Macaca fascicularis: one gene and its partner. The main gene of each other region encodes a partner of the protein of the gene in region 2 in a complex. Links are inferred from orthologs where the notes say so. Each region holds a gene or a part of one and is shown on either strand. Other genes may lie near its edges.

Region 1 (5,301 bases), on a different chromosome or scaffold from region 2:
TAAAACCCCATCTCTACATAAAATACAAAAGTTAGTCAGCCGTGGTAGCGTGTACCTGTAGTCCCAGCTGTTTGTGGGGCTGAGGCAGGAGGATTGCTTGAGCTGGGGCGGTCCAGGCTACAGTGAGCCATGGTCACACCACTGCACTCCTGAGTGGGTGACAAAGTGAGATACTGTCTCAAAAAAAAAAAAAAAAAAATAGAGACATAGTCTCACTATGTCGCCCAGGCTGGTCTTGAACTCCTCGCCTCAAGTGATCTGCCCACCTCAGCATCCTAAAGTGCTGGGATTAAAAAAAAATAAAAAATAAAAAAATAAAATAGGACACTGCTGGAGTGAGTGCACCTTCCCTGGGTCTGAGGTCTCTGAACCCAATGCCCAGCTTTCGGTGCACATTTCCAGAATAAACAAATGAATGCGGTCAGTGAGCAAGAATAAATGGCTGTTATACACAATGGCAGCAGAAGCAATTATCCGAGGATATTAATGGTCAATAAGTCATGTTTCTGACTCAAAATTTTCCAGCTAAATCCATTTTAAAGCCTAATAAAATCAAGAACCTTTGTGTGTTTAACTCAAATCTATATAAAATCGGATAAACAACGTCAACCCCATGTAACAGTATGTGTTTTAGTGTAGATATCATTGGTGGAGGATACAATACACTCCCCCTGAAAAGTGAGTTATTTGATTTTATGTCACTTTAGCTATGATGCTGATATATAAACTCTATGAGGCTATGAGATGATGTCTTCAAAGCGTACTTTCAAATGTGTTACAAGAAGCTGACTCTTTAGAGCTCACCGTTCTATTCTTCAGACCATATCTCATCCCATGTTTTTCACAGATTCATAGTCTAATAATTTTTATTATATAGAAAGCATTTTCTGCTTCCCATATCATTTTATTATTTTTAAACTATGTTCAACTGTATAATCACATCAAAACAACGTTGGGTTGTCACAACTCCTGATCCTATTTGTCTTCTTGTTTTTTGTTAGTTTCTTGAGATGATGATTCTCTCTCCCCTTTAAAAAAATTCTCCCCTTTTTGAATTATTTTAATTTAATGCATTTAAAAAATTTTGGCTGAAGTAATTTCCAATTAACGTCTTTCCAGGCCGAGCACGGTGGCTCATGCCTGTAATCTCAGCACTTTAGGATGCTGACGTGGGTGGATCACTTGAGACCAGGAGTTTGAGATCAGCCTGGCCAACATAGTGAGACTTGTCTCAATTTATTTATTTATTTTTATTCATTCATTTATTTATTTTGGAGACAGGGTCTCCAGCGCACCACCCAGCTAATTTTTGTATTTTTTGTAGAGACGGGGTTTTAGCATGTTACCCAGGCTGGTCTTCAACTCCCGAGATCAAGTGATCCGCCAGCCTCAGCCTCTTAAAGTGCTGGGATACAGGCATGAGCTGCCGCTGTCTCTATTTTTTTTTAAGTTTCCTTCCAGAAATATATGTGGATGAGAGTATACTTTGAATACTTGCATATCCAAAGATTTATTTTACCCTCACACACCAACAACGGTTTAACAAGGTATGAAATTCTAAAGTTACACTTCTGTATCCTCAGACCTCTGGAAACGTGTGCTCTGCGATATTCTGCAGGTGAGCACTGGAGGGGGCAGCTCTGCTACTGCTCAGCCCACGTCGCTGTTTGAGATAACCTGCGTATTTACTGGTTTTTGTTGTTTCTTCAAAAACATTTCCCTTTGCTTTAAAAATTAGATATTTCATTCACCAGAATACAACAGCTAGGTTTATGTTGTTTTAAATTATTAATTCTTGCAGTGCAGTGGACAAGTCCTCTCAAACTCAGTATTTATTGTCTTCTAGATCTTAAATGAAAGTTGCATTCATTTATATGCAGGCATCTTGCTAAAATAATGGAATACCTTCTCTTCCATGTATAGCAGAGACCATAGACCTGAACGACTATTCTTCCTTACATCTCACAAAATTGCCATCAAAAGCCCAATTATTATTATTTCGTCTTAAAATTTAAAAGGCAACAAGTAGTATCAGGAAATCGTGATTTTTTTTTTTTTCATTCTACGGTAGAGTGCATAGAACCATGTTTTCTGATTGTTGTAGGAGCACACGTACTTGCTATAGGTAAGCTCTGAAAAATACTACTAGGAGAGCAAGCATCTGGTTCCTTGAAAACGCCGGGATTCGGCGCCCGCCCTCCTGCACGCGGTTACACAGAGAGCACGCCGGGGCCGCCACCCCCTCGTGCCGCTGGTTCTCCAGCGGAGCAAACTTCCCAGAGCCGGGGTTGATCTGCCTCCACAGTAAAACCCAAGTGCAGCTCAAGTTCTTTCTCAAAAGGTAGCAGGCCACACCCACCCACAACACTGTGCTTGGAATAAAAGCTTTGCGGTCAAGCTAAAAGGCCTTATCCATCTCCTTTCATCTGTGTTCTGAAACCAGACCGCCAGCCTCCGCGTGCAGCAGGAAGTGAGAGGCCAGGGTAGAGATCCCCGGGGATCAGACCCTGCGGAAGGCGCTCAGTCGAGGGCGAGACTTCCCAGAGAGGCTCGTTAATGAGAGCGAGCGAGCGAGCGAGCGAGCGGCAGGAAAAGCTCAAGGCACTGGGAGCGGCAGAACCGGCCCGTAGCGTCCTCCCGGCCAGGTCAGGGGAGCCATTCCCCCCCCAGTTTAAACGCTCCGCAGCCGGTCCGCGCCCGCCGCCCGTCCGGGTCCAGTCCCGGGATTCAGGAGCCCCTCCGGCCGCCGCTCCCCGGCGCCCACCAACCCCGCGGGCCCGGCGCGCTGTCCCCCGGGCGTGAGCCGACCGCGCGACCGGGACCTACCGAGCAGCAGGAGCCGGTGCGTCTGCTGCAGGTCGCGCTTCTGCTCGCGCAGCATGCGGTCGATGCCCCGGCTCACTTTCCTCGCCTCCTTGGCCGCCTCGCGCTCCTCGGCGCTCAGCTGCTCGGTGCGCTGCCGCTTCTCCTTCGGCTTGTCTGCTTTGGGCCGAGCGCATGCCGGGCTCCCGCCGCCGCCCCGAGGGAGCGAGGTCCGAGCCGTGTCCCTTGCGGCCGCCCGGACTGGGGCCGGGGCCGGGGCGGGCTGCGTGTCCTGCACCGGGGGCTCCGAGGCCGCGCAGGGGTCGTCCCCTGGGCCCCCGAAAAGCAGCGGCCGCAGACTGTAGCACAGACCCATGTGGGCGCGGCACGGCGGGGGCGGCGCGCGGGACTAGGGCGGGCTGGGCGCCGAGGGCGGCCTGGTTCCCGCGCCCAGTTCAGGCCGGCGCCCCTGCGGAGGGGCGAGAGGGGGCTACACCCGGACCCTGTTCAGCGCTGCCGGCCGCCAGCTGCGGGAAGGGGGTGCGGCAGGCCCGGGCCGAGGGCCACGGCCCCTCACTGCCCCAGAGGGCCATTTTGCATTTTCCGCTGGGTGCAGGGGGTGGCGGCCGCCTTGGCTGGAGATCACTTGATAACGCCCAGAGCTGGCCAAGCCGACGGGCCTCAGCGAGCCCGGCCCCGTTACCGTAAATGCCGCCGCCGGTCCAGCCCTCGCTACCGTAAATACAGCTGGCTTTCGTTACCGTAAATACCGCCGCGCGGGCGAGTATTCTGTACCGTAAATAATGCCGACTGAGCCCGGCGCGCAGCTGCGGACAGTACCGCAGTGGCTGTGCAGTCAGCACCTGGAGCCGCAGTTGCGGCAATTAGAAAACCAGGGTGGCTTTGATCTTGGGTCATAGTAACTGAGGACGGAAAGCTGGGTGCAGGGATAGCGACCGTGGCTTTAAAGCCTTCAGTTTCCCCAATCCATTGCTTGCAGAGATCTCTGCACCTTGCCACTCCCTTTTCTGCTCATTATCTTACACACATACCCGCACACTCTATCCCTACTTTAATACTACTATACCTTTGACCTCTACAAAATCTCCAATTCTGGAGTCTGGTCCACGACACCATTTTCAACAATTTCCACCCTTAAAAATGAAAACCGAGCACATATAATTGCCATGTACTATTTATATTTGCTGAAATGAGAATATGAGATTGTACACTGTATTTTCTTAATCCACAATATAGCGCAGAGAGGAGCAGATGCGCCTTCAGACTGGGTGCGCTCTCTCCATGACGCTGAGAAACAAGCCCGCCAGAGGTCCCATGTCTCCGGTTATTTCCCACTGCATGCACAGCATCTTGTAGAGCTTCTGCAACAGGTGAACATTTTAATATAGCTTGTGAATAACCTGCTGTAAGATGTGTTCCTTGATTTCCGGGAAAATGACATGTAATATTATAACTGATAGTTAAATACATCTCTTATTAACACACCAGATTAGGCTGTTTAATGAAACGTAGCATGCAGCGCAGTGTGCACTGCACCCGTTGGCACTAGATGTAAATACTACATTGGATTACATTTTTTCTTTTTGAGACAATCTGGCTCTGTCGCCCAGGCTGGAGTGCAGTGGTGCGATCACGGCTCACTGCAACCTCCACCTCCCGGGTTCCAGTGGTTCTACTGCCTCAGCCTCCTAAGTAACTGGGACTACAGGCGCCCACCACCACTGCCAGCTAATTTTTCATTTTCTTTCTTTCTTTTTTTTTTTTTTTTTTTTTCTAGGCATTTTTAGTAGAGACGATTTCACCATGTTGGCCAGGCTGGTCTCGAACTCCTGACCTCAAGGGATCCACCCACCTCGCCTCCCAAAGTGCTGGGATTACAAGCGTGAGCCACCGCGCGGGGCCTGGATTACATTTTTAAATCAAGAAGTTGGAGATCCGGCATTCACATTTCTTTTGGGGGTCCTGCTAATAACAAATGTGCATACATGTACTGCTTTTGACCTAACATTGTTCCCCAAATTTTGCTAAAATTATGGCATACTTTCAGATATTTGAGCAAAAGAAAGGATTATAGAAAATCTAACTTGGGAAAATAGAAAAAGTTACTAAATATCATTGTCATTTTCACTATTCATTCACTCATCCATCTGTCCATTTGTCCATTTAATTAAGTGCCTGCAGTATGCTAGGCATCCTTGTTGGTGCTGGGTGAGGCAGACATGGGTCCTCATGGAGTTTGTAGACTAGTGAGATAGAAATATACTCAGTCATAAAAACACAGGTAAATATGTTAATTGTAAATTGCGCTAATGCCATGAAGGGGAAAAACAGGATTCTCAGAGTAAGGGAAGGTCCTGTTTAAATCGGGGTGGGGAAGAGTCGTGTGAGAGGCAGAAAAGGCTTTTGAAGAAACTGAGACCCCAGAGACTTATCGCAATTGCTTTTCTATTACAACTTATTAGCTAACATTTATCAGTG
Region 2 (5,275 bases):
TGCTGAGCACATAAAATGTGCAAGGAAATAGATTAAAACTAGTTGTAAGCCTTTTCTCTTGGTGTAGAAACAGAATCATAGATGAGTACTGGCTGAATGAATGAAGTATGGAGTCATAAAGTCAATCCCTCCTCCAAACTCCAGGTAGCATTGATAGCTATCTCTAGTTCTGTTGATGTTTTTTGTTCTTATACAAAAACAGCAAGAAGACACCATTTCTCCCCTGCTGTCATGCTTTACTGCATCTCAGAATGACAGTCAGAGCTTCCAAAGGTCTCACACAGAAGACGCAAAAGGGCAGTCTGCAGGTCACAAGCAGCCTGCACACATAATTTGGTTAAACTGCATGCACATTTAAAAAAATGTTTTGAATCAGTTGCTATCTTTAAAAACATATGAAGCTTTTTTTCCGTAAAAATTTACAGCTTCCCCCAAAACTAAGATCAGGCAACCATGTGATGGAGCCCTACCGCACCTGCAGCTGCCCCCTTACTGGAGACAGGCTTAGCAGCACACAGCTCCCACTCAGCCCTCCTGTCCACCAGCCTCCTGCACTCAGGCTTCCTGACTGGTCCCGACTGGCAGTGGCGTTTACACCACAGAACTGTACCTCCTCTTGCTGACATTTAGGTCAGCTCCAGTTCAGCCCATTCTGTCTTCCTCGGAACCCAAACAGAGAGCTCACAGCCCTCTGACCACACAGTGCTCCTTCACCTCTCAGAGGACTCCCAGTGCACCAGACTGCAACACAAAGAGAACGGTTTGGATATCGTTGCGGCCTTGGATTTAGTTCCAAAATGTCAAGCAGGCCTCTTAATGAGGGGTCTCTATTCTTGATGTTATGGTGGTGGAGCTACAGGGCAGGGAGAAGCCCTGAGTTAAAGGACCCACCTGTGTGCCATCAGGAAACCACGTGAAAAGCATTACCAAGGCAAAAGATCTGAGTTCAATCTGGGCTGCTTACTTAGCTGGGCAAGAATGCTTCATCTCTCCTGAGCCTCAGTTTCCTCACCTATCAAATGGGCTAGCAGAGCTTCACAAGGCTGTTGTGTGAAGGAAGAAGTGTATATGAAAGTGCTTGTAAGCACCTGACAAGTATAAAATAAGACAGGTGTGGAGGAGGACCGGGAGAGGTGCTCTGGAAGAAGTAACAGAAATGGGTGCCATGGATTCCAGTTACAGTTGAAGAGCCTCTTTCTCTGTGACCTGAGGTCCCTCCCACCTCCTCCTTCTGCCCTGAGGGCCTGAAAAATGCCTCTCTTCACTTGCTCCCAGTAGCTGCAGTAAAATAGATTACAAGGGAAAACCGCCTATTCCCCCGAAGCAGTAGCTCTCCAGAACTCATCTGGAGGTCCAGGTCACTAGGGGAGAAGAGGCCGGGCTGAATCCACGCCTGGCTCCACGGAGGAGCCACAACGATGGCCATCCTCCCCCAGCCCCTAGCACGCTGAGACAGGCTCACCTGAGGTTATCAGTGTCTCCACTGGACAATCAAGGAACTGAGGTTCTTTCCCTCCAAAACCACACACCTCCTCACGGCTTCACAGGGAGGAGGATCAAATGACCTGCTCTTGAAAGCACTTTGCAAAAGGGATGAAAGGTACAATAACGAGCAAAAATAGCCTCCAAGATGTGATATAAAGCGATGCCAATGCGCAGCTGTGTGGTTACTGGTAAGCAGACCTCCGGGAAACACAGGAGACACCCCACTTATCCCACAGACGTTCTCATCCCATATGCCTTTGTCCAAAGGTTGCACGGGGGTTAAGCTTGGCCCAGAGGGCGCCGAGGGCTGGTCAAGTCCTCCCCTTTCCAAGAACCAGCCGAATCTCCCTCCCGCAGATCTGAGAGGCAGAGCCGCCCACCCCGCGGCGCCGGGCCACTTCTGGGCGCGCCATCCGCCGTCCGCCCAGGCTCGGGGAGACAGCGCCCTGAGTCCCGGCTGGGAGAAGGTTGCTCACCTGGTCCTCACGGATTCCAGCCGAGGGGCGTGACCGCCTCTCCCCACACCCTCTGCCCTGAGCGGGTCGTGAAGTCTCTTGGCCCCAGGGGGCGCGGCCCGCATCGGCCGAGTCCAGGGCACGCACCTACGCCCTCCCATCCAGCGGACTGGGTAGGGGGCCTCGGGCGGCGCCGGAGAAACGGGGGCGGGCTGCACCCAGTAGAATGGGGTGGGCCTCTCAGAAGCCCCAGGCCGCAGGCGAGGGGCGCGCCCCCAACATCTTCCCACAAAGAGCTCCAGCTCTCCAAAGCAAGGCGCAGTGCGGCCAGAGGACAGCCCCAACCCCTGAGAGGGGCGCGAGGAGAAGGGGAGCGCCGTGGGGGCGGGGACCCTTCCCGGCCCGCAACCTGAGCCCTCAACCCCGCACAATGAGTTTAGCCCGGCTCCATCCCGACCTCCCTCTCCGCCCGGGCCCGGGCCCGCGACCGCGTCCCACGCCGAGTGCTCACCGAGGAGCCGCTGCCGCGGCAGCTCAGGCCCCGGCCCAGCCGCCTCCCCGCCTCGGCCACCGCCGCCGCCGCTTCCTTCCTCCCCGCCGCGCTCCGGGACTGGAGGTTTCGGGTTTCAGCCCGCCGAGCCCCGCTTCGCTCCTCCCGCGGGCCAGCCACCAGCACGCGGACCCGGGCGAACGCAGGCCAAGTAACTTTGCGGCGCCCGCGCCCCGCCTTCCCCACGCCCGGCCGGGCCCCTCCGGCCCCCAAAGCCCCGAGTCGCCTCCCCGCGCCCCGCACCGCCCCGCCCCGCGCGGCTCCCGGCGCCCCTCCCCACCCGCGCCCCTTCCTTCGCGTCCGTCAGCTCGCCCGCCCTCCCGGCTGCTGCTTTCCCATTTCTTCCCACGAACAGCCTCGGCTGCTGCTCTTTGTCTCGCCCTTACCCTCTCGGCTCGCTGCACTTTTCTCCTGAAAACCTTTGTGGTCCCTAACTTAGGCCTTCCCTGTTCCCGTTCCTGCGTCCCAGTTCCAGCCGCTGGGACGTCCCCTTTTCCATGTCTCTCTGCATCACACAGACACTTTCAGATTCTTCCCGCAGGCTCCGCACAGTCCCATTCTCCTCCTCCAGTCCCGCCGTGGAAGATCCTGGTATCGCCTTTGCTGCTCACCTTTCATTCATCCAGCCGACGGGCACGAGCATCCATCTGCGTCCTGCCAGGCTCTGTCCCGGGCTCTGTGAATACCACAGTGAATCCGCCCCGGGGAGTGGGGAGTGGACGTAAACAGGTCTTCACACTGCTGCCCTGCACTCCCTCGGAGCCAAAAGGCCAGGGAGCAGTCATCACAAAACAAAGAGCGGGCGCTGTCAGCTCGGGGGACGGAACAGTTCCTTCTCAGAATGTTTGTTTTGTCTTCCTCACTCCCCACTTTCCCTGCCTGTCTCCAGCCTCCTACGTTTTCTATGCAGCAGTCTTAATAAGGGGATGGAAAGTTGAAGCACAGAGTAGAACTGCTAAAAAAGGAAAGAAGGAAGGACAAACAGGGCAACAAAATAATCAGGTAAGAAGTTATAAAGCCCAGTTCACTAAACTTCAGCAAAAGAAAAAAAAAGACAAAAAAACCCTGGTGCTGTGCTTACAGCAGGATTCACATTCCTCTGAAATCCATCTGCTTTGATAAATACATTAATTATTCCCTTGTCTACAGATTGACACTGTGGGAGATGCTTCCTTATTATTAATATTATTGGGCCACTGAGGCACCATTTAGAACAGTAATTTACTGTCTGGCACCTACCAAACACCCACATTGCTCCGGGGACAAATGGGATAATGGGGAGAAAAAAGTAAATGGATGCCTTAATATTCCTATGGGATAAATGCTTTATTTGGTCAAAAACTGGAAACTGACACTCCACTTAGAGTCTAGGTCACCCGGCAAGCCAGACCCTTGAAGGAGCTTAAAGCTTTCTGTTCTTAAGAGTATTTTAGACACTTATTTTGAACTCCCTGTTATTTATTTAATTTACACTGGCTCAGCTGTCGGCTAAGCTCTATGAGCCTGAGGGAGTGAGTTAACCTTCCTGAGTCTCAGCTTATTCATACACAAAATGGGGATACTCATACCTTCCTATCTGTAGAGTTGAAAAGGTCAAATGAGGTCATGTAACTAAATCACCAGTGTCATAAATTCGGAGAACTAAACCCTTTTGAAAATTGGTATTCACGAAAGGTCTGAAAATATATGCCATGGACTGGCATGGCAAGAATGAGAGTAAAAAATAAACAGTTACGGCTGTTTTGGCTCCATACCCATTCATGATGCAAAAGATGTCCTTCATACTGAACAACCTTTTCCCATACTTACTCTATTTCATTTTGAACTGTTCAACAGAAGACATTTTTTTTTCTCCTGCTGCTCATTATCAAATACATTATTTATCACAAAGATTTTTCTTTTTTCTGAGCTCATAAGCTCAGAACTTACTGTGCATTCAGGGATAGAAATTGCTGCCAACAAATGCATTTTCAATTGCTGTCTTAAGATTTTTTTTTCCCTTCTGGAGTTAATATTGAGCTATGAGTGAATTCAGTCAGATGCAGAGAAAACAAACAAATTGTTATTAAAGTAATTATTTCACTGTTTATCATTGTATAGGTGATAATTGTGAAAAACGTGACTGCTTTTGTGCAAGAATGTATTTTTTTTTTCAGAAAAAGAGAAAGATACACACTAATTCTCCTTTCCCAAATTAGTTTAATAAACCATTCTGTTTTAGAGACATCCACAAAGACTTATAAACTAAAATGAGAGGCCATGTCCAACTGAACCTCACATGTGTGTTGAATAATTTATATATGAAACATGTTTTATGTAAAATATCATTTCAGTCTAGCAGTCCACATAAAACTGGTGAAAGCAAAATTGTGAAGTATGCTATTTGTTCCACGTGGGATGTTATTTCCCCCACTCTTTACAGGCCAAGCCCTTCCTGCCCTTCACATCTCAGCTTAAATGTCACCTCCTCAGAGAAGTCTTCCCTGACCAATCTCTCCTTTTTTTGATTAGAGATGGGATCTTGCTATGTTGCCCAGGCTTGTCTTTAACTCCTGGGCTCAAGCTATCCTTTCACCTTGGCCTCCCAAAGTGCTGGGATTATAGATGTGAGCCACTGCACTCAGCCCCTGACCAATCTAAAAGAAATTCTCTGATCTCTGCTCTCTCTCTCATAGCTGTCTTCTTTTTCTACATACAATGTGTCCAAATTTATAAAATACGTATCAATTTTTCTATTTATTTGTTTACAGTACACCTCCGCTGATAGAATGGTAAAACCATTTGA

Evidence for each region. Proteins that work in one complex are often made in the same cells at the same time.
Region 1: the proteins of GPR161 (region 2) and GNAL are in contact, whole or in part, in a cryo-EM structure (PDB 8KH4), measured with the Homo sapiens proteins. The link is inferred for Macaca fascicularis from reciprocal best matches to the Homo sapiens genes GPR161 and GNAL. Residues at the interface, in NP_001254539.1 of Homo sapiens: Arg125, Ala128, Val129, Leu130, Pro132, Met133, Tyr135, Pro136, Met137, Ile139, Ile211, Val214, Ala215, Lys218, Ala219, Lys267, Ala268, Thr271, Trp327, Asn328, Lys329, Arg332; in NP_001135811.1 of Homo sapiens: Ala41, His43, Lys203, Val204, Phe206, Phe363, Cys366, Arg367, Asp368, Ile370, Gln371, Arg372, His374, Leu375, Gln377, Tyr378, Glu379, Leu380, Leu381.

The regions. Positions count from the first base shown.
Region 1 is NC_088392.1:79,223,212-79,228,512, forward strand, and holds the start of GNAL (guanine nucleotide-binding protein G(olf) subunit alpha), read right to left. Parts: upstream 3,486-5,301; 5' UTR 3,179-3,485; coding exon 2,827-3,178; intron 1-2,826. UniProt on the Homo sapiens protein: Guanine nucleotide-binding protein (G protein) involved as transducer in olfactory signal transduction controlled by G protein-coupled receptors (GPCRs).
Region 2 is NC_088375.1:25,801,053-25,806,327, forward strand, and holds the start of GPR161 (G-protein coupled receptor 161), read right to left. Parts: upstream 3,399-5,275; 5' UTR 3,109-3,398; coding exon of another isoform or gene 3,102-3,108; exon of another isoform or gene 2,877-3,101; intron 2,553-2,876; exon of another isoform or gene 2,102-2,552; coding exon of another isoform or gene 1,962-2,101; intron 1-1,961. UniProt on the Homo sapiens protein: Key negative regulator of Shh signaling, which promotes the processing of GLI3 into GLI3R during neural tube development.